2 linked regions of the Mytilus edulis genome follow. The protein of the gene in region 1 interacts with the protein of each later gene in a biochemical or structural test. Links are inferred from orthologs where the notes say so. Each region holds a gene or a part of one and is shown on either strand. Other genes may lie near its edges. The genes, in order: methyltransferase-like protein 22 and DNA/RNA-binding protein KIN17-like.

What was found.
Region 2: of the proteins of methyltransferase-like protein 22 (region 1) and DNA/RNA-binding protein KIN17-like, one has a biochemical effect on the other in vitro, tested with the Homo sapiens proteins (2 studies listed by BioGRID). The link is inferred for Mytilus edulis from reciprocal best matches to the Homo sapiens genes METTL22 and KIN.

What each region holds. Positions count from the first base shown.
Region 1 is NC_092352.1:3,180,685-3,190,263, forward strand, and holds the start of methyltransferase-like protein 22, read left to right. Parts: upstream 1-5,176; 5' UTR 5,177-5,216; exon of another isoform or gene 5,217-5,412; intron 5,413-5,490; exon of another isoform or gene 5,491-5,628; intron 5,629-7,335; 5' UTR 7,336-7,364; coding exon 7,365-7,437; intron 7,438-9,579. Other genes in the region: putative sodium-coupled neutral amino acid transporter 10, read right to left, coding at 32-124. UniProt on the Homo sapiens protein: Protein N-lysine methyltransferase. Trimethylates KIN at Lys-135 (in vitro).
Region 2 is NC_092344.1:36,395,394-36,405,666, reverse strand, and holds the start of DNA/RNA-binding protein KIN17-like, read left to right. Parts: upstream 1-6,471; 5' UTR 6,472-6,578; intron 6,579-9,230; 5' UTR 9,231-9,266; coding exon 9,267-9,386; intron 9,387-9,945; coding exon 9,946-10,040; intron 10,041-10,273. Other genes in the region: threonine synthase-like 1, read right to left, coding at 1-566, 1,134-1,274, 4,025-4,162. UniProt on the Homo sapiens protein: Involved in DNA replication and the cellular response to DNA damage. May participate in DNA replication factories and create a bridge between DNA replication and repair mediated by high molecular weight complexes.

The sequences.
Region 1 (9,579 bases):
ACAGAAAATTTCGGTTTGTTTTTAATTTTACCTCTTTATAACAAAATGGCATGGCTAACACTGTTACACCTATAATACTGTTACTAAGGTTCAGAATGTGTGGTATGTGACTATCTTCTGCCATGATGGTTAGAGTCTGTTGTCTGAAAAGAGCAAAAATAAATATGTTAAATTGTGTTATGATAGATTTCTGAAAACTTTTTGTTGCTCATCCTTAAATACATGTATGCGTAGTTATTATATTTATTTTTATAATACTATTGCATTATAACAGATAATGTTTAAATGTTCTTCAGGATAAAATTTTAGAGCAGTAGTGATAAAGGGGAAGTTTAAAGTTCATTGGTTAAATGTTTAGAATAATAGAATTGAGCTTAATCTATGTAATTGACTTATTAGTTACTGACAACTATCCTTTGACATGTTGTCTGCTCTATGGTCGGGTTGTTGTCTCTTTGGCACATTCTCCATTTCCATTTTCAATTTGAAAGCAATGGAAAAAGTTATGCTAATACAGAACTTTTATTATGTTTAGATAAAAACATTTCAACTTTAGATGCGTTTGCCTCAAAAATCCATAACTTAATCAGTCAAATATTATACAGATGTATAAACATGATAAAAGAAATCAATGCATCAAAAACAAAGTTTAACAGTTGTCAACAGTGAACTAAAATATTGTTAATTTATATGTGCACTTATCCAGGAAGGACATCATTTCGTTTGAATATCAGTTAAAGGACATCCAAACCAAAGGTGTTTTTTTTTCCATCCTACATGTATATAAATATAATTTTTTTGCAATAATATCTGTATGAATCTTTGATATATACTTATTGTATTCATGTGGTGAACTGAAGTTTTGTTTTTCATTGTTTCCTAATCATTATTCATAGACCAAAATAATAATAATGGTCCATCTATAATATCATGTGTTTATATTGTGACGTTTTTGACAGACATGACAGATAGCAGTGCCTAAATTTTTATTGATATTGTCTATATTTTGTTGAACTATTATTTAGCTAATCTGGTAAATACTTTATGTATAATGGAGACTTCATGTTTTAACTTAAATAGAATTTATTGTTTTGTCTATATTTCTGCCCATCATTCTTTGTATTATTTTATTAAAGCAGTAAATGTGTGTATTTTATTTCATTATTACCTATGTATTGTTTAATGGTTTTAATATTGTATGTTCCAGAATGACAGAAAACGTGTGTTTTCTAATCTACAACTCTTGATTAATTGTACATTACTTTCACTTTCTCTTTTACCGGAAGTCACGAGTATTATCATAAATATAGTGACAATAGAAATCGTATAATTTGTAGACTGTCCTGAACATGTTGTAGTTATATTTTTGTATGTTTGTCAAAATAGGGATAAAGGTTAGTGTTTTATGTAAAGTTTTGGTAGAAGGAAGTTTTATTTAAATTAGAGTAATAACTTCTTATGAACTATTTTAGCACTGACGTTGCGCACCTTTTCACAGTAATAGGGCTGTAATGACGTCATTTGATCAGACGTTAAGTGCAAAGATATTTACCTTTTCAGGAAGTTTCCTTATTTGGTCACTAATTTTACCTATATATTTGGAATTTCTCTCACGCGAGATAACAACACTAGCATAAGATTTATAGTATTTTACGTCAGTTCCAACTTGTCCCTACCACCGGATAGCAGCTTAATTTACATGTCTCATAAATTTCAAGGTACAGTTTTTCTAACATGTCTAAAGCAGCAGTTTATGTTCCTGAATATTGCATTATATACAATATAATTATTTATGCAGTTCGCTAATCCTGGCCGCTTGAACTTTTGACGCATACAACAATCACTTTTCCATTGTGGCGTCAGATATTTTGTTTAATGATCATGATGATGTCAAAATTTTACGGGAACCTGTGTGATTTCCAGTAATGGCGGACAAATAGCGATAAGGTGTATTGTTCCAGTTTCCAGTCAAGTTTTAATGGAGGCAGAAATTTAATAGTTTTCTTGTTTTCTTTATACATATAAGTTTTGAGAATAAAGTTTTATAATGAATTTCAACTTTAAATAGGAGAAAGGTGCGTAAAGTCGGCAAAAGTGTCCGTTTGTTTCATTTTATATTTTTATAATATAGAAAGAGGGTTACGAAATTGTGACTTATTTATTTGAGTAGTATTTTACATGTATTTATATGGAGAGTTGCTGATAAATCCGAGTTTCTTGAATGTTGATTTTTGGTGTAGCTGTTTTAGAGCATTATCTGTTCGTCTTATCTATACAGATGAATGCTGCTTTAAGAGATTTATAGCTGTTAATTCGTGTTCCAGTTGTTATTAATATACACCTTATCGCTATTTGTCCGCCATTAATGGATATCACACAGGTTCCCTTAAAATTTTGACGTCATAAAACAAAATATCTGATGCCACAATGGAAAAGTGATTGTTGTATGCGTCAAAAGTTCAAGCGGCCAGGTCAGCCGGGATTAGCGATAAGGTGTATTATGTCTGGTGAATAAAACTTTTTATACACTTGAAGCGATTTCGTGTTTACATTCAGACCTCAACGTAAATTCTAATGTGATATTGTATTGCATTACATGTACATATAAAAATACAACCCGTCTAACACACACACACACACACATAAAAAGGAGACTGCGCCGACCAAGAAACTAGATTTATATGACATGCAGTATACAGCAGCAGTATTACTAGTTATTATTTTGAGCGTTCATATTTCCTGTTCAAGTCTTTTGGTTTGTTGTTGGTGTCTGTCTGGTCTGGTGGTTGGTTTGGTTGGTTAGAAAGGTTCACATCGGTTAGCGAACACGTTACAATATTAATGATTTGGTGAAGTGACACCCCATTCAAATCCCTCTCATATTATTTTTTTATGAAAATAAAAGGGTTTTCAAGTTGTATATATACATTTATTAAAGCGCAGCCACTTTTAATGATAATCAATAGAACAACAGTTTCAAAAATACATGCAGTAATAATTTTATCATGTAAAACAACTGTAAGAAGGAGTCTTTCTATCATAGAAAAATTAGGGAGTGGAACAACTTGCCCAACTGTACTAATGAGTCCTGAATCTTTCAAGGCTCAGATCTGCTATTAAATTTAAATGACGTATTTTTAATCGCACTGTATATATATATATAAATCTGTTGTAGAGTTGTCACTGGCTCAGACGTACTTATAAATATAATTATTTTCTGTGACTGTATCTTACATTAATTTGTAGGATTCTATACTATAGATAATTTAGCTGATCTGTAAAAATAACATCTCCATGCCTTATATATCATGTACTATAGTACAACCCTAGATTAAAACTGACATGGAGAGGTAACACCTGGCGACTGAAAGCTTCATTTTTATGAAGCCCAGGTGGTCCTGTGGTCTAGCGGGACAGCTACAGTGCAGGCGATTTGGTGTCACGATATCTCAGTAGCATGGGTTCGAATACATCTTTCAAATGAGGCAAAATTTGTTTGGTTATTTACTAATGAAAATTTGTATGTACTTAAATATTTAGGGAGCTATATTATTACATAGATATAGGAAGATGTGGTGTGAGTGCCAATGAGACAACTCTCCATACAAATAACAATTTAAAAAGTAAACCATTATAGGTTAAAGTACGGCCTTCAACACAGAGCCTTGGCTCACACCGAACAACAAGCTATAAAGGGCCCCAAAATTACTAGTGTAAAACCATTCAAACGGGAAAACCAACGGTCTAATCTATATAATACATGTCTAGATGTTAGACAAAATGTTAATTAATGTATGTAATAACAATGATAATTGTAATGATTTTATGGTTCTCATCCTGCCTGGAACTAAATGTATTTGATTTTTATAGAATGAAGATAATAACACCTATCTGAACTTTTTTTAATGTTTCATTTTATTATATAAAAATGTTTTTCTGTTACAAATCATGATGTATTGTTCTATGTGTACATGTTATGCTGCCCATCAAGGGCCCTTGATTGGAATAATAAAATATTCTATTCTATTCTATTTTAAATCCCGGCGAGGGAAGAACAAAAAAATTGTGAAAGCAAATTTACAGATCTAACATTGTTGGGTTGATGTTTAGACGAGTTGTATATATATTAATTGAACCATTTTTTGTTTTATCAAATTTCAAAAACAATTCTCATGCACAAAATGTTGCTGATTACCAGATCATGATGAAAACAAAAATATTTTGTTACCCAGAGACAATAATCTAAATGTGATGACATTTCCATGCACTAAATGTCAATATTCAGTTCTTGGGAGTTCTATGGAAATTGTGGACAGTGTCTTATTTAGAGTATAGACTATACTCTATAGTCTAATTATTATATTACAAAAGTTGATTAATACATGTAGCTAGAGTAAACGTTAATTGTACATGGTATAAGAAGTGTTTCAATTAGTTCTTGGCCCCCAATATTAATTCCATTTGGGAATTTTTTTATCTATAGAAGTTTCTGATTTATACATTGTAAATGTAGCACCTCAACTGGCTATCAAATCATAAGACGTAACTTAGAAGACTGCAGCTGTTAACAGAAACCACCTGTTTTTATCCAATTTTGGAAATACTAAGCATGCAGGTTTACGTTTGCAAAGCAGTATCTGTGTTACGGATTTCCATTGCAGATGAATAGATGTAGATGTATAAAAAAAACACTGGCGGTAAAACAGTCAATAATTGGTGAATTGCTTTGTCCCCTGACCAGGAACAATTCAACATTTATAAATATAATGTATCAGAGAATCACAAAAGTAGTAGACATCTACATGTATATGTATTTTGTTGTCTTATACCAAGGATTTGTATAGTAAGTCTTACTATACAAATCCTTGCTTATACAGGAGTGTGTTTTTTTGTTGTTTTTTTTTTTATCAAATTACAAAAATAAGAGATTTATTTATCATGCTATGTCAAACTGGCATGATTGTCGGTTAAAAGCTTATTAGATCTATAGTATGCCTATAATTGTTTCAACCTGATAAATTATCAGAGTAAATTACCGATATTATAAGCAAAGTTTTTCTTGTTGTCTGCTTCGAGGAAACGTGTAAATTCTGTTTCTCATAAACGCTTGTATTAGCGTCTTTAACAACTGTTTAAAGCGCAAAATGATTCAGACGGAGAATATTAGTTTTAGAAACGATCCGGATAGAAACGTAATTGTCAAGCGGAAAAACACTGTAAACAAATAATTTATAAACTACATGTCATCAGTAACATATATATTAACGTTAGATATACTGTTCCCAGATGTCATGTATGCATGTTCAACCGAAAAATAACCCAAACAAAAAAGGATGTGATGTAAGATCCCTTTCCAAGTTTTTACAGCATTTGGAGGTTGAAGTAGTTGATTTTAACACATGTGACTGTAAAGTAATTTAAGAAATAATTCATGGAAGCCATAGATTATTGGAAATTTACACATGGCCTGGGCCGTGATATTCGAATTTTATCCTGAGCGTTAGCGAGGGATAAAATTAACGAATATCACGGCCCAGGCCATGTGTAAATTTCCAATAATCTATGGCTTCCATGAATTATTTCGATTCTAATAGGACAAATACGATCATTAAAAAAACTGAAGCGAGGGTGGGTATGCTGTGTGTGCGGCTGTTCTTTTTTACTCCCTGTTAGATAAAGCTCGAACATTCTAGTAAATTCGTAGCTTGCATGGATTATTTCGTAAACAACCGCCGAAAAAAATCTGTTTCATTCTCAAAACCAACAATTGCCATTTTGATTTACATGTTTTTCTCGTAAGCTACCGTAAAATCCAAAGTTGACAGTTCTTAACTAAGGAGCCGCCATGTTGACTTGCTGAAATCAGTAAATATGCGAATAATGCAATAGAATAGAAAATCAAACAAAACCTACCTTGAGAATCAATTTTAATGCAATAGTAAACGAAATTTAAATGGTTCACGTAACAGAAAACTTTCAACGCTAGCGTTTTCATTTGTATGACGTCATGTTTTGAAATGACTTTGATAGCGCCAAATACATGAATAAACTTTCGCGGAATTTTATTTTATTTTTATTTTGCTGGTTTCTCCGAGCTGTTTTGCATTACTTCTTTGCATCCGAATAAGAATAAAAGTGATTTTGTCTTTTTTAATTGCAATTTTTAAAACAATAAAATCGGCAAAGGGTTTGCAAATAGGTTTCAATACATGTGGATTTACGTGGGAAGTATATTGTAACCGCCATTATTATGTACATCTCGGAGTCTGCGCTGAGTATAGATATATCGAGAATTTTATCACAGTGTTGTTTACAAAGCGAAAGAAGCACGTCATATTAGAATTATATGTATTTATATATATAATATTTATTAATGTCATAAAGTTGTCATATGTTTAGACATGTATGATGAAATTAAAATTTGGTGTGGCGGCATGGTATTTAACATTATCATTCTTTAAGACAGACAAAAATAGTAGTCCAAATAATTATGATACATGCATGTATCTTTAAAGACATATATATTTTTGCTTTGACACTTGATTTGACACCACACAGTCTGAGGATTCTACTTCGTCAAAATTATCTCCCCATTACACCATTTCATTTTTACAATCGTAGAAATTAAAGCCATTGTATGGATGACGCACTGCCAATTTTGCTCTTGAAAACTGATAAATTTATCCAAATAGCACCATTACGATCCTTTTATGTCAGTTGTATTTTTTTAGAATTTTTTCTTGAGTCACATAATGGAAGAGCAGACAAAAAAATTACTGAACTAATAGATTGATATGTTCTCTGTGTCTGTGGTAAAAATTTTATTTAAATCGAAGGTTATGCATTTTCTACATCCAACTTGAAAGATACCCATGTCGTCGACTTGATATCTAATTGTTCTGCATTATTATGTAATAGATAAATTGAAAATTTATGCAAATGGTGTTTTTAAGATAAAACACTTCGTAATTGAGAAGAAAATTGCCGTTTTATTTTTTTGTTTCTATAGTAAACATTACAGTAAGCATTTATCGCCTTCTCTAACAAAGAGCTTTGATTCTGTTGTTCTATTTCAACTGGGTTAACGCCTGCGCAGGAAAGCCTCAAAGCAAAAAAAATATGATCCTTTCAAGACATCATAATTCATTGGACAAAATAGGTCAAAGTTTGACTGTATTGACATAATTTTAATTGGTAATAAAACATATATACTGTGGATTCATTATTATTCCTTGGATACCAATTTTCGTGGATTTCCTGGGTACAAGTGTTTTGCCCCTACATAATAAAACTAAAAAAAACAGTGTAAACAACCAATATTTGTTTATATTTTAGTAACCTGATGTGATCAATGAAGATTAATAATGCAGAAAGATGAGTTAGTACTTTCAGATGTACATCTACAGGTCCAAAGTAACCAGTCAAAAGGCTACAATAGTAAGTTACTACTCCATATTCAATTGTTGAACATTTTAAAAATCTATGTTATCATTTAGTTAGTAACATTTTACTAACAAAGATGATGGTATTAAATTGTACTTTTAAATGTTCATCTGATGGTACAAAATTATCAGTTCAAAGATGACAGCAGTATACTAGTAATATACTAATATTTATATTTGTCTATCTTGCACTTACAAGTATCTCCTTATTTAGCTCGTATTACCTTATTAAAAAATAGCAAAGCTTCTATCATAAGTATATCATTGATCAAGATTGAACATCAGAATTTAAAAATGGTTATGGTTAATGTAGACTTTTGCATTTCTGTATTGACATTCAAATTCATTGCTCGTTTGTTCAATGCCTTGCACAAGTGTATCCATTTACTGTTTATGACAGTGCTGTATGACACCGTCTATGAAGTGCAGTCACTGATATTGATATTGATTATGAAATATAGGTGGATCATTTTTTGTCTCGCCTTGACAGAGTCAAAAAGCGAGACAAAGGTATGCTGTTTCAGGCTGGCGGCGGTGTCAACAATGTATAAGTTTTTGATTAGGTCTAGTTTATGGTGAACCACTAGTGGTAGGTCAATCATATTTGGTATGCAGCTGTATAAGCATTGGCACATCTCATTTCCATGGAGATTATGTGGCCCTGTTCCCTCAGTCATGGTCTATTAGCTTCAAAACTTTTGCCTTTTTATGCCCCACCTACGATAGTAGAGGGGCATTATGTTTTCTGGTCTGTGCCTCCTTTCGTCCGTCCGTCTGTGCATCCGTCCGTCTGTGCGTCCGTTTGTCCGTTTGCGTCCGTTCGCTTCAGGTTAAAGTTTTTGGTCAAGGTAGTTTTTGAAGAAGTTGAAGTCTAATCAACTTGAAACTTAGTACACATGTTCCCTATGATATGATCTTTCTAATTTTAATTCCAAATTAAAGTTTTGACCCCAATTTCACGGTCCACTGAACATAGAAAATGATAGTGCGAGTGGGGCATCCGTGTACTTGGGACACATTCTTGTTTTACATGTATTAGTTTGTGATTAGGTCAGTTTATGAGGAACCACAAGTGGTAGGTCAATAATATTTAGTATGCAGTTGTATAAGCATTGGCATATCTCATTTCCATGGAGATGATTTGGCTCCGCCCCCTTAGTCATGGTCTATTGACTTTGAAATTTTTTGTAAGTTATGTATTAATTTGTTATTAGGTCAGTTCAAGGGGAACCATTAGTGGTAGGCCAATGTTAATTGATATTCAGTTGTATAAGCATTGGCACATCTCATTTCCATGCATAATATTTGGCCTTGACCCTCAGTCATAGTCTAATGACTTTGAAACCTATCTTAGTTTACATGTATTAGTTTGAGATTAGATCAGTTTAAGATGAACTGCTCATTTAATGTTAAATCAATGATATTTGGTAAGCAAATTTGCCAATAAAATTGAGAAAGGAAATGGTGAATATGTCAAAGCGACAACCACCCGACCATAGAGCAAACAACAGCCGAAGGCAACCAATGGGTCTTCAATGTAGCGAGAATTCCCGCACCCGTAGGTGTCCTTCAGCTGGCCCCTAAAATATGCATAATAGTACAGTGATAATGGACGTCATACTAAACTCCGAATTATACACAAGAAACTAAAATTTAAAATCATACAAGACTAACAAAGGCCAGAGGCTCCTGACTTGGGACAGGCGCAAAATTGCTTTCCACAGAGATTATATAGCCCCCCCCCCCCTCTTCATGCTTCATTGACATTTTAAAACTTTTACATAGTTTACAAGTTAAGTTTTGTATTTAGATTTGGAAACGACTTATAACATAATCAACAGTATTTGGTATGTACATGTAGTTGTATTAGCATTGGGACATCTCATTTACATGGAGATTGTTTAGCCATGTAACCCAGTCATGGTTCATTGGCTTTGAATGTTTGTATACCTTGTGTAAGATGTTACAGTATTGCTATTTTGATTTCAAAATTTGCATTATTAAAATTACAAAAAGGTGAGACATATCTCTGTGATAACAGTTTATTTACAGATAGAGTTATCTCCCATCATATAACAAAGTTGGAAAATTGATTTGAACCAAACGAAATTTGGTATTTGTTCAAACAATGCAAATA
Region 2 (10,273 bases), on another chromosome or scaffold:
TTCTCTAAAATTCGAAGAGCTCTATCTTGGTATGTAAGATCCACTAATCTGTCCAACTGTTTTTCTGAAAACTTTGCAATGCTGCTATTTGGGACAAATAAACCACCATCTGGGGCTAAGCCTTGAAGGATAGCTTCGGAGAATTTTACTTCATGAGGCTGTTTAGAAAGGTCTCTTGTTGAGACGTAACCCGATGAATTCTGATAACGTTTCAGCTCTGCGACAATCTTTCCCGCTATTGAGTCTTGAGTTTCATTTTCTTCGCAAATTACTCGTATATCATATGCCTTTTCGTAAAACGATTGTCTATACTTAAGTATGTCTATCATCGGTACATCAGGGCTTTGTCCTACAATACGATTAACTTTCATCTTTTCTAGTCGATCAACGATGTCGTCATGTTTAGTGTCCAAGAAGACTACAATTCCAGTTTTGGAAATGTGGTTCATAGCAGCTGAATACATTGGATTTGATCCAGATAATGATACCACGTGTCCATTGCGGTCAAAGTGAAGTAACGCCCTTCCTTCTTCTTCAACAAAACGATCAGGTCCCACTTCAGATAACTGGAAAAAATCGGTAAGATTTTCAAAATCGACAAAACAAAAGTTATACATTAACTGTTTGGAATTTGTGAAAAAATACTAAAAAGTAAGTATATAAAAATAGAATCAGCAATAGTTTTTTTTTAATGAAAATGTTGACTTTCCATTAACAACTGTTCATAGTTCACTAAATATACGTAAACTATTATTTTAATATACATAAGCTTAAAATATCAGAACAAAGTTCACAATGCATGGTGTCTAGAATGGATGTGCAAGAATGGTAATCCACACAAATTAAATATGTATGCACACATAATTTAATGAAAAAATCAGATGTTTTGATTATTTAAAAAAAACAGAAGATAGCGGATGACCTCAATCAAATTTAACAACAAACATTTACCAAAGTAGACATTCATACTTCACGTTGTGGCCTTCAACGAGCAACAACGTCAGTAAGCATATCTGAAGATCTTGTTAAACCAGATCGTAAAAGAATCTTTAACACACTTTAAAGAAGAAACTACAACGGCGTTTATAATTTTTTTTTTATGAAGCTAACTATATTATTAGAAATAAAGTTACCTTATCTGCCACTGACATTCCCCAATATGGTTCTAAGTGATGATCATCTATGTCAGCCACTGGGAAACCAAGACGTTCCCCTAGTATTCTGCCTAGTGTGGTTTTACCGGAACCTGGACTTCCCATTAATATTATATTTGGCTACAAATAGTCATTATAATATATTTGTTACACGATGAAAATATAACGTGTTTAAACAAAAACCAAGCTAGCACATAGTAAATGATTTTTGATGCCCAAAAAGTATAACTACTAAATAGTGATGAACAACAATGTTCCAAGTTATTCACCGACTGCTTCTTATATTATAATTGAACATTTATCAGTAACGTTGTTAAAATGATAAAGATGCGCATGCCGTCAACTAGACATGAGCACAACTCTGCTTATCCGTTGATTCAAATTATCATGTAGTTCTGGTCATCAAATAAAATTAACGGTACCAATTTTCTTGCACCAGATGCGCATTTCGACAATACATGTCTCTTCAGTGATGCTCGTCAAATTGTTCCATGATATACCATGTGTTTTGATGCACTTCAGTGTTTCTGTTCTTTCATTGTTTTCCTCCTATAGTTGAACCTTCCACCAGGGGGAAATACAACCAACTTCACAGGTTTTGCCAGTCGAAGCCTTCAATAGATTCCTACATTGAGCTATTCCACATCAGCTCCAAATCCACCAACTTATGGAGCATGCTAAGAAGACGCCAGTGAGACCAAAGATGGAATAAACTACGACAGTAAAGGACCCCTATCAGCAAAGTTAAAGATGAATTGGAGAAGCTTCAAAAGCGAACTACAAGATATATCAACAGCAGAAATCAAATATCATTTGTCTGCAACCTGATAAGTGATCTAGGGCTGTAAATTCTACAAATAAAGGCAACAGTAGTATACCGCTGTTCAAAACTCATAAATCCAAGGACAAAAAACAAAATCGGGGTAACAAACTAAAACTGAGGGAAGCGCATTAAATATAAGAGGCGTAAATCTGTAGCAAAATAACAAATTACCTAATAGCCATAGACAATATTAAATACACTTCAGGCCAATAAGAAGCTCCGATCGCACAGGAAATAATTCCTACCAACTACAGCTACTCATAACAGATTGTATGAAGTGTTCCCTCTGCGGAAACACCGCAAATAATTTGGAACAAACCTACAGTCTACGGATATCGCCACATATATGTCCCTCAATCCACACAACTTGAGATGGTGCTAGCCATGTGTGAGAACTCTGCAATTTTCAGGGTCGAACTCAATTCTCCAGACATATTTACAAACAGGTTAGATCTAAACGTACTGACTTTGGATATGTATTTTAAGTGATCCAAAGAGTTGACGCCGTTGATGTTTTGTGGGAGTGAATTCCGCAGGACAATTGTGAATGGAAAAAACTGTACTTGAAGTAATCTGTTTTGGAGCTGAATGTTTGGTTATTAAAGTGAATTGTTGAATCTTCTTTTTTTTTTACTGAAAGGTAAATGTATACTGATATAAGCCTTTGGGTGTTATTTTGTACATCATTTTTACTCAATTGATGTATCTGCAAGTTTCAAGTCATTTCATTTGTAAGATGGTCAATCATGGAAGTGGCACTACTGGTGTCATGGTACCTGTTGGTGACGTAGAGTGCTGCTATTCTTTGTACATTTTCAATGTTTCGTGATGGTACTATGTTTATATCATTTTACAACAGATACATGTAAGAGACCTTGGTCCAGGACAACATATGAATTTGTAAATGATATTCCTAGCCTAGTAAGGTCTTAAAATAAATAATAATGCAACAGACAGGTATAGGCTGAAAATTAATATTCTGTCTCACAAAATACTGGAAATAGCAAAGCCTGGCGAAATAAATGAACCCGCATTGCAGTTGATGTGAAAAATGAATTTTCTTTCCTTGAACAATTATTTTGGTCTTCATCTGAGATGAAGCAGCAGAAACCTCGTATAACTCTTAAATACATTGTTTCGAGACTGACGCATATGACGGAGTTTCAAGGCTTTCGTTTATTTTTAAATCAAAACTATCTTGTACATAGCTGTTGTTGTCTTCAACGGTCAATGTATTTCATGGAAAGCATATAAAACAAATATCAGCCAAAGAACTTAACAGCTGGGTCCAGAGTTAAAGGGCTCTCTTCTTCTTCCCGTTACGAGTCGGACTATGTAGTAAAGTGTAATTGACTTGGGCGCATCTCAAACAGACAGGAGGCCACTTCTCTGGCCAAAAGTAAAAAAAACCCCAAACAAATGGACGATATTTACAATAGAATATTGATCTTAATTACATCTATGTACACTGGTTATCCTGCTGTCTATTTCAGTTGTGGCTGGGTCCAGCCTGAGGGGATGGTATTCACTCTGGCCCTGAAATCTTCTAGAGATCCGGACTCCACTACAGATTCGGGGAGTTTATTCCATTCTCTAGTTGTTTTTGGGAAGAATGAGTGGTAGTAGACATCCCTCTTCACTTTAGTTTGTCTAAGTTTGTGGTTGCCCCTGGCCCTAGTGTCCACTGTTGTGTAGTATTTGGCTGGATCAATGGCAATCAACTGGTGTTGAGTCTTATAACACAGCACCAGACTCTGTTTCCATTGTCTGTGCTGCAGTGATTCCCATTGAAGTTGGTCCAGTAGCTTGGTAACACATCCAGCTCTCGGCTGAGTTACTACACTGTTAGCGTAAACTATCAACAGTATACATGTGTATGTAAAAGAAAATTGACGTAACATATTTTCCTTTCAGGCAATCAATAAGAGTAACAGACTGTTAATAAAAGCAGTGGAAATAGACTGAGATGAATTTAGCAAATGAAGCAGTGTATGTGTATATACATGGTATAGGTATACACTTGTCAAGTCCATTTTATTATGATTACCTGTTTACCACCTGATTTAGTAGAAAATATTCTGTAAGGTAATTTGCAACCCAAACACCAGCTGATTCCATTCTGTGCTGGTCTGAAAAGTCTGTTGTGGCATTTTAACAAATTTAACAACGATTTCTGAAATTTCATGTTGTTTACTATTTCGGCTTTACTAAATAACTAAATCACCACAGGACATGGACACGTATGTGTGTGCTTAGTCTAAATAGATTACATAGTTTTTCAACTAAGTATATATCTCAAGACGATTACAGTTATTGACTATTAAAAATTAGGAAGCAAGGCTTCGAAACATAACTGTGATGTAAGAAGTAAATTGTGATATTAAATTAAAGTACAGACTAGCGTAACAATATAGTCATAAATATATTATGAGCAAGCCAACGGGAATAAGAAGTGAACTAAAATAAAACCGTATAAAGGACTATATTATATCATGTCTAGAACTATTATAAGAGATCTATCATGGGTAATCACATCATCACAATTGTTTTAGCAAGTAAAATCCCATAATCATTAAATAGTTTTTTTTTTAACAAGATGATAATCAAAAATTCAGTCCGCTTAGCCTCAGTGATTATCAAATAATCAAATAATCATTAAATATTCGGTCTGGTAATCAAATAATCACTATAAAAACGGTCAAGTAATCACATAAACAACGGAAAATTCTGAAGCGGAACAGAATTAATTCTGACGAACCTAATTCGTAAAGCCGGGCCAATATAAAATCAATGCGAAGTGCATGAACTACATTAATAATCTATCTTAAAAAAAAATATTATACGCTAGTACGTATCCTAAACTTATTTCACAAATACTGAAAACCTCCTTTCACCCGTAGTGATAAAAGGGTTGCGTTATTTTTTTTGGTAATATTTATTGATCAATTTATTATATTGTACACTACATTATGTTGCTCTTGTTGCACACAATGTGTGCCTTGGTGTATTAATAAACTTGTCTTGTTTTGTCATAATAAATAACTAAGTTGAAAAGAAACCCACAATATTTTTTTCTTTTAAAGCCGGGACGTCACTTGAAGATCTACATGCAGCATTTTTTCTATGTTGTAACTAGAACAAAGGAGACACCCGCACTGAGGGTAAATGAAATTCGAAGTACAACCTCATTTGCAAAAAGAAAAACATACCGCGAGACTAACAGATTGGCAACAGTCCATCATTAAAACGATTCACAGCCAATTTAAGTTTGAGATTGAATCATCAAAGCGGGGATAAACTCATCTGCTCCTTAGGAAGGCCAAGCAGCTTACAGTTCTCTCAGTTTTAATAGCAAAATTTGCATATTTAAGTTAACGTTACCACTTAATTATTAGTGACTGTTTGACATTGCTAAATCGACTCAGTGATACATATAACAAAAGAAGATGTGGTATGATTGCCAATGAGACAACTCTCCACAAGAGACCAAAATGACACAGAAATTAACAACTATAGCCTATAGGTCACCGTCCGGCCTTCAACAATGAGCAAAGCCGATACCAAGTTTCAAAGTTTTTTTTATTTCTTAAAGACTTCAACAGGGGTATGTGAACAATAAAAAATACTACATTTATAAGTATTCATAATATAACAAAATAACAAAGTATCAAAGTATTAAATGCAGTGAACATTATAAACATTCATTACATGTAACATATATATATACATTTGAAAAAGTAATGTATAAGTCAAATGGACATATTAATGGTTGAAACAATTTTAGTTTAATTAACAACAGCTAGTACAATTTAAAAAAAAATAAAAAAATTTAAGAACAACATTGTAAGAGTCAGAATTAAATAACTCATACAATTTTTACCACACAGTAAGCTATAAAAGACCCCGAAATGACAATGTAAAACAATTCAGCCGAGTGTGTATATATAACACTTTAACATTTCATTTTTTTTTTTGCTTTCTTTTAAAAGTTTGTTTAATGATATATGTAAAACTTGCATGGATATAAATCTAATTTGAAATGTTTATCCCCGGCCGTATAGAGGCCGCCGCATGAGAAGTTTGGTTTTCACGTTGAAGTATCCATCTTTATAAATACGAAAACTTTGCAACCACTGAAAATTAATCAAAGTCTTTCTAATCAGATTTTAGAATTTGCTCTTTACATGCTCATAGTAAACACCGTCAGCAATCTGTAATACATGTACTGTGAAAATGAGATTTAAGAAATTAATATCATCTGTAGATGTGACTTATGCATTGGCCTAGATGTACAATAAATTTTATATCATGTCCATTATCCCTGTCACCCATCCTTATCCTTTTGATTTTTTGTTAAATTTGTACTCTTCTTGAATATGAATGAACAATGTCATTGTGGAGTTATGCTGTTCATATAAACAGACCATAGCATGCATAAAAAAATATCGGTCCGGATTTAGTCGTGTCCTTGTCCATCGCTTGACTTTGCTATTTATTCGTAATAGTTTGTTTCCGGTTTCTAGTTTGACTTTTTTCGAATTATTTTGTCATCGACTATTTTTTATATTAATAGCTTTTTTATATCAGGAGTTAAGAATGGGGTAAGATATTTCAAGATTATCATTGAAGCAGGTTGGTTTATTTTTCATAGTGCCGTGAAAATTCGCGAAGACTTGAGTGAAGAGTAAAATAAAAATATGACAATTAAATTTTGATTTTAACTTCTCATTTACAAAAATGACAACGAAAATGACAAACTGTAATTTGATTTTAAGAGTGCCCCTTGTGTACGGTATCAGGTCCGTTTTCTTTCAAGACACATTCACACCCTACATGTCTACATGTTTGCACCCCACAGGTTCGACTCCTAGCCCTAGGAGGCAATGTCTGTTAGCCCCCAATTTTATTCAATTACCTATGATTTTTAAAATGTATCTATTAAAATATTGATAATGGGTCTCATTTGGGTCTAAGCATGAGGCAGGATTGCCGATATTTGTATCAGTGAACTCAGTGACACATGAAATATAAATTATTGTGCCGTGAAAAACGTTGAAATAAGTGGGACACGGGAAATTGCAAAAAAATGAAAACTGCTTACGTACATAGTGTAAGCGTGATTTGGAATATGACAAAACAGTTAGCAGGATCCGAGATCAGAACCCCCAATGAGACACCCTTGATACATGTGATACATGTACATAAAATGATGTACATAATTTAAAGTACAAAATTTCGTGAATTTATTAAATGAAATATTTTTTTTTTGTGACTAGATGATTAATTATTAATTTGTTTATGATTTAATTGTTACATGTATTCAAAAAGTAATTTGGTAATATTGATAAGGTACCTTGAATGACCGAATAACACCGTTTTTATCTAAATAACACTTGTAATGACCAAATAACATTTGAAATTTAAATATTAGCACATTTTAGTTACTTTTAAACATTCATTATTAAATAATAGTATACAGTGTTCTCCCCAGGCCGTTTTAGCGTCCCGGTACCGCGACGCTATATTTTTTCACCGTGATGCTATAATAATTTCCGCGACACTATAATTATTCCTGCGACGCTATAATTATTCCCGCGACGCTATAATTATTTTGAAGATGCTATTTTACCTGTCCTCAATTTCGTACTTTCATCTACATGTATTATCGATTATGATCATAAAAATTATATCACCTTTAATTGTAATCCCTTTAAGTCGGACATTAGAGGCAATTAAGAGGTTAAATAGCTAGGTGTTAATTGCCCTCAGGGTGATAACTGTTTAGATGCAAATATCCCAAGCTGACACTTGTGACATGACTAATACACCAATTTCGACATGGAAAAATGCAATCATATTAAGAAATTTCAAAGCTTGAAACGATTATTATTTTTTTTTAAAAGATCGTTTATTTGTGCAACTCTCCAAAAATTACTTTCTTTCTCTTCCGGTAATACGAGAGCGAGAATTTTGGTTTACAGCTAAGATAAGTTTAATACTTCTTTAAAACGTTATCATAATTGGCTTAAGTTTATGTTTAATCCATTTAATGTATTAAAAGCGTCTTATTCATTCACAATCTCTTGTCAAACAATGTTTATTCTCGGACTCATTTTCATAAATTTTTCTACGGCCGCCATTGCACATTTTAGTGTAAACTACGGAGAGGAACCGGATGAGATATGACAAAAATCCGCATTTTCACGATAATGACAACAGATGGACAGTAGACAGAAAAAAATATACCAAGAGGGAAAACTACGCATTAACAGACTATTTGTTAGATAACTTTGTTAAAAATACATATCATTTTAATGTAAAGATAAGAAACTACTGGGACTAATTCATTGAGTGCCATCATGGCCATGAAACAATGAATTTCATAAACATGATAAAAAAAAAGTTTTAAATTGATTTTTTTTGGCTACTTTATCTTTACTTAATATAATATAAAAAATAGTTAATTTTGTGTACTAGATATTTAGTTTTGTATATATACAGGTTGCACTATAGTTATAATGAACCATTCATTCATTTGACTTATTGTTGGGTAACTGAAACCACATATTTATTTTTGTTTGGCACAAAAGAAAAAAAATAATTCTGTAACTATAAATGAATAAAGAAATTATTATATATAATATAGTTTAATTGTATTCTCAGTTATGAATTGAACAATATAAACTAAAACATATAAAGGAAATAGAGCATCAACGCGACGCGTTAAATGACATTAAAAAAAATACAGTTATTTTTTTTTACGCAAAATGTGATGCTATCCAAAATTTCTGGGGAGAACACTGGACTATATTATAAAGGTTTTTATAACTTAAAAATGATAAATAAAAAGCAAGTGTTCTTAAATGAGTGCATTTGCTGGGTTTAAACTCTCAACCTCAGTGTCGACTGATAGTGATTAACTGATTACATATTAGTATACCTACTTAGACCACTTGGCCACCAAGGTCCCTAGTATGCTTTAAGTTTAAAAGCAAAGTTTCTGGTAGAGGACTAAGAGGAGGAAGATAAAGACTAGCTAACAGGTCTACATTGTTAACTTTTAATATTGATGTTAAGAAATTGAAGATTACTGATTTGCAATTTATGATGTTATTTGGTAGTTTGTTCTTACATTTTTTTTTCTTAGGAAAATGTTATTTGGTAGTTTGTTCTTAGGAAAATAAGATTCTTTTCTGTACTTTGCATGCAATCTTGTCGTTCTTGTTTTTTAACTGTCCATGTATTTATTTCAGGATTATTTGTTTCTTCTGTTGAAATAGACATAAAAAATGGGAAAAGAAAAGGGAGGATTCCTGACACCAAAGGCAATTGCCAACAGAATAAAATCCAAAGGTTTACAGAAATTGAGATGGTATTGCCAGATGTGTCAGAAACAGTGTAGAGATGAGGTAAAATTAAAAAAGAAGGGACAGTTCAAGGGAACATGTAAATGAAATACACTTTAATGTCTTTTGTTAAAATAATACATTGTATAAACAATGTTATTTCCTACAGGAACCCCTTTTACAGCGTAAAATGTGTGCCACATGAACTTTCCTATAGAAAATCCTTTATATTTTCAGATTCTTCTTAAAAGTACATGCACTCCTTAAAGTTACTGTCATCCCGTACACTAGTTTGTAGATCTACTCAGGCTCTGTGTTGGTTGTTTATCAATGACAAGATCCTGTAAACCTCTGCAACAAACTAAGATCAATGAGCTTGTGGTCATCAACTACTGAATGAATATTTTGTGTCAATAATACATTATATATTCATAATGAATATAAAAAACTTATGTATGCATGTATGGTTCATTAATTTCAATAACGTTATAACATGTATAACTACAAAAAAATGTTTCATATGAATTTTAAACTCTTGCCTATCATATGAATTTGCTGACCAAAACTGTAATACAATGTATATATCTTACTGTTGGATTTATAATGATTATTAATATTACAGAATGGGTTCAAATGTCACACAATGTCAGAATCACACCAGCGTCAGTTGCTATTATTTGCTGAGAGTCCAGATAAATATATAGATTCATTTTCAGAGTAAGTTGTAATATCAGAAATTGTATGATAATATAAATCATGAAATCATTATTGTACCAAGAAACAAAATTGCAGCACCAACATTAACTTTATTCTTTGAACAGATATGAAATCACATGATTTTTAGTTTTTCTTGCAAGAGACAAGGATTTATTTAATTTAGTGTTGGCTTCAGCTCTTTTAAATCTTTATAGTTCAGAAGGTATGAGTCTAGTCACCTATTCACAAGAGTT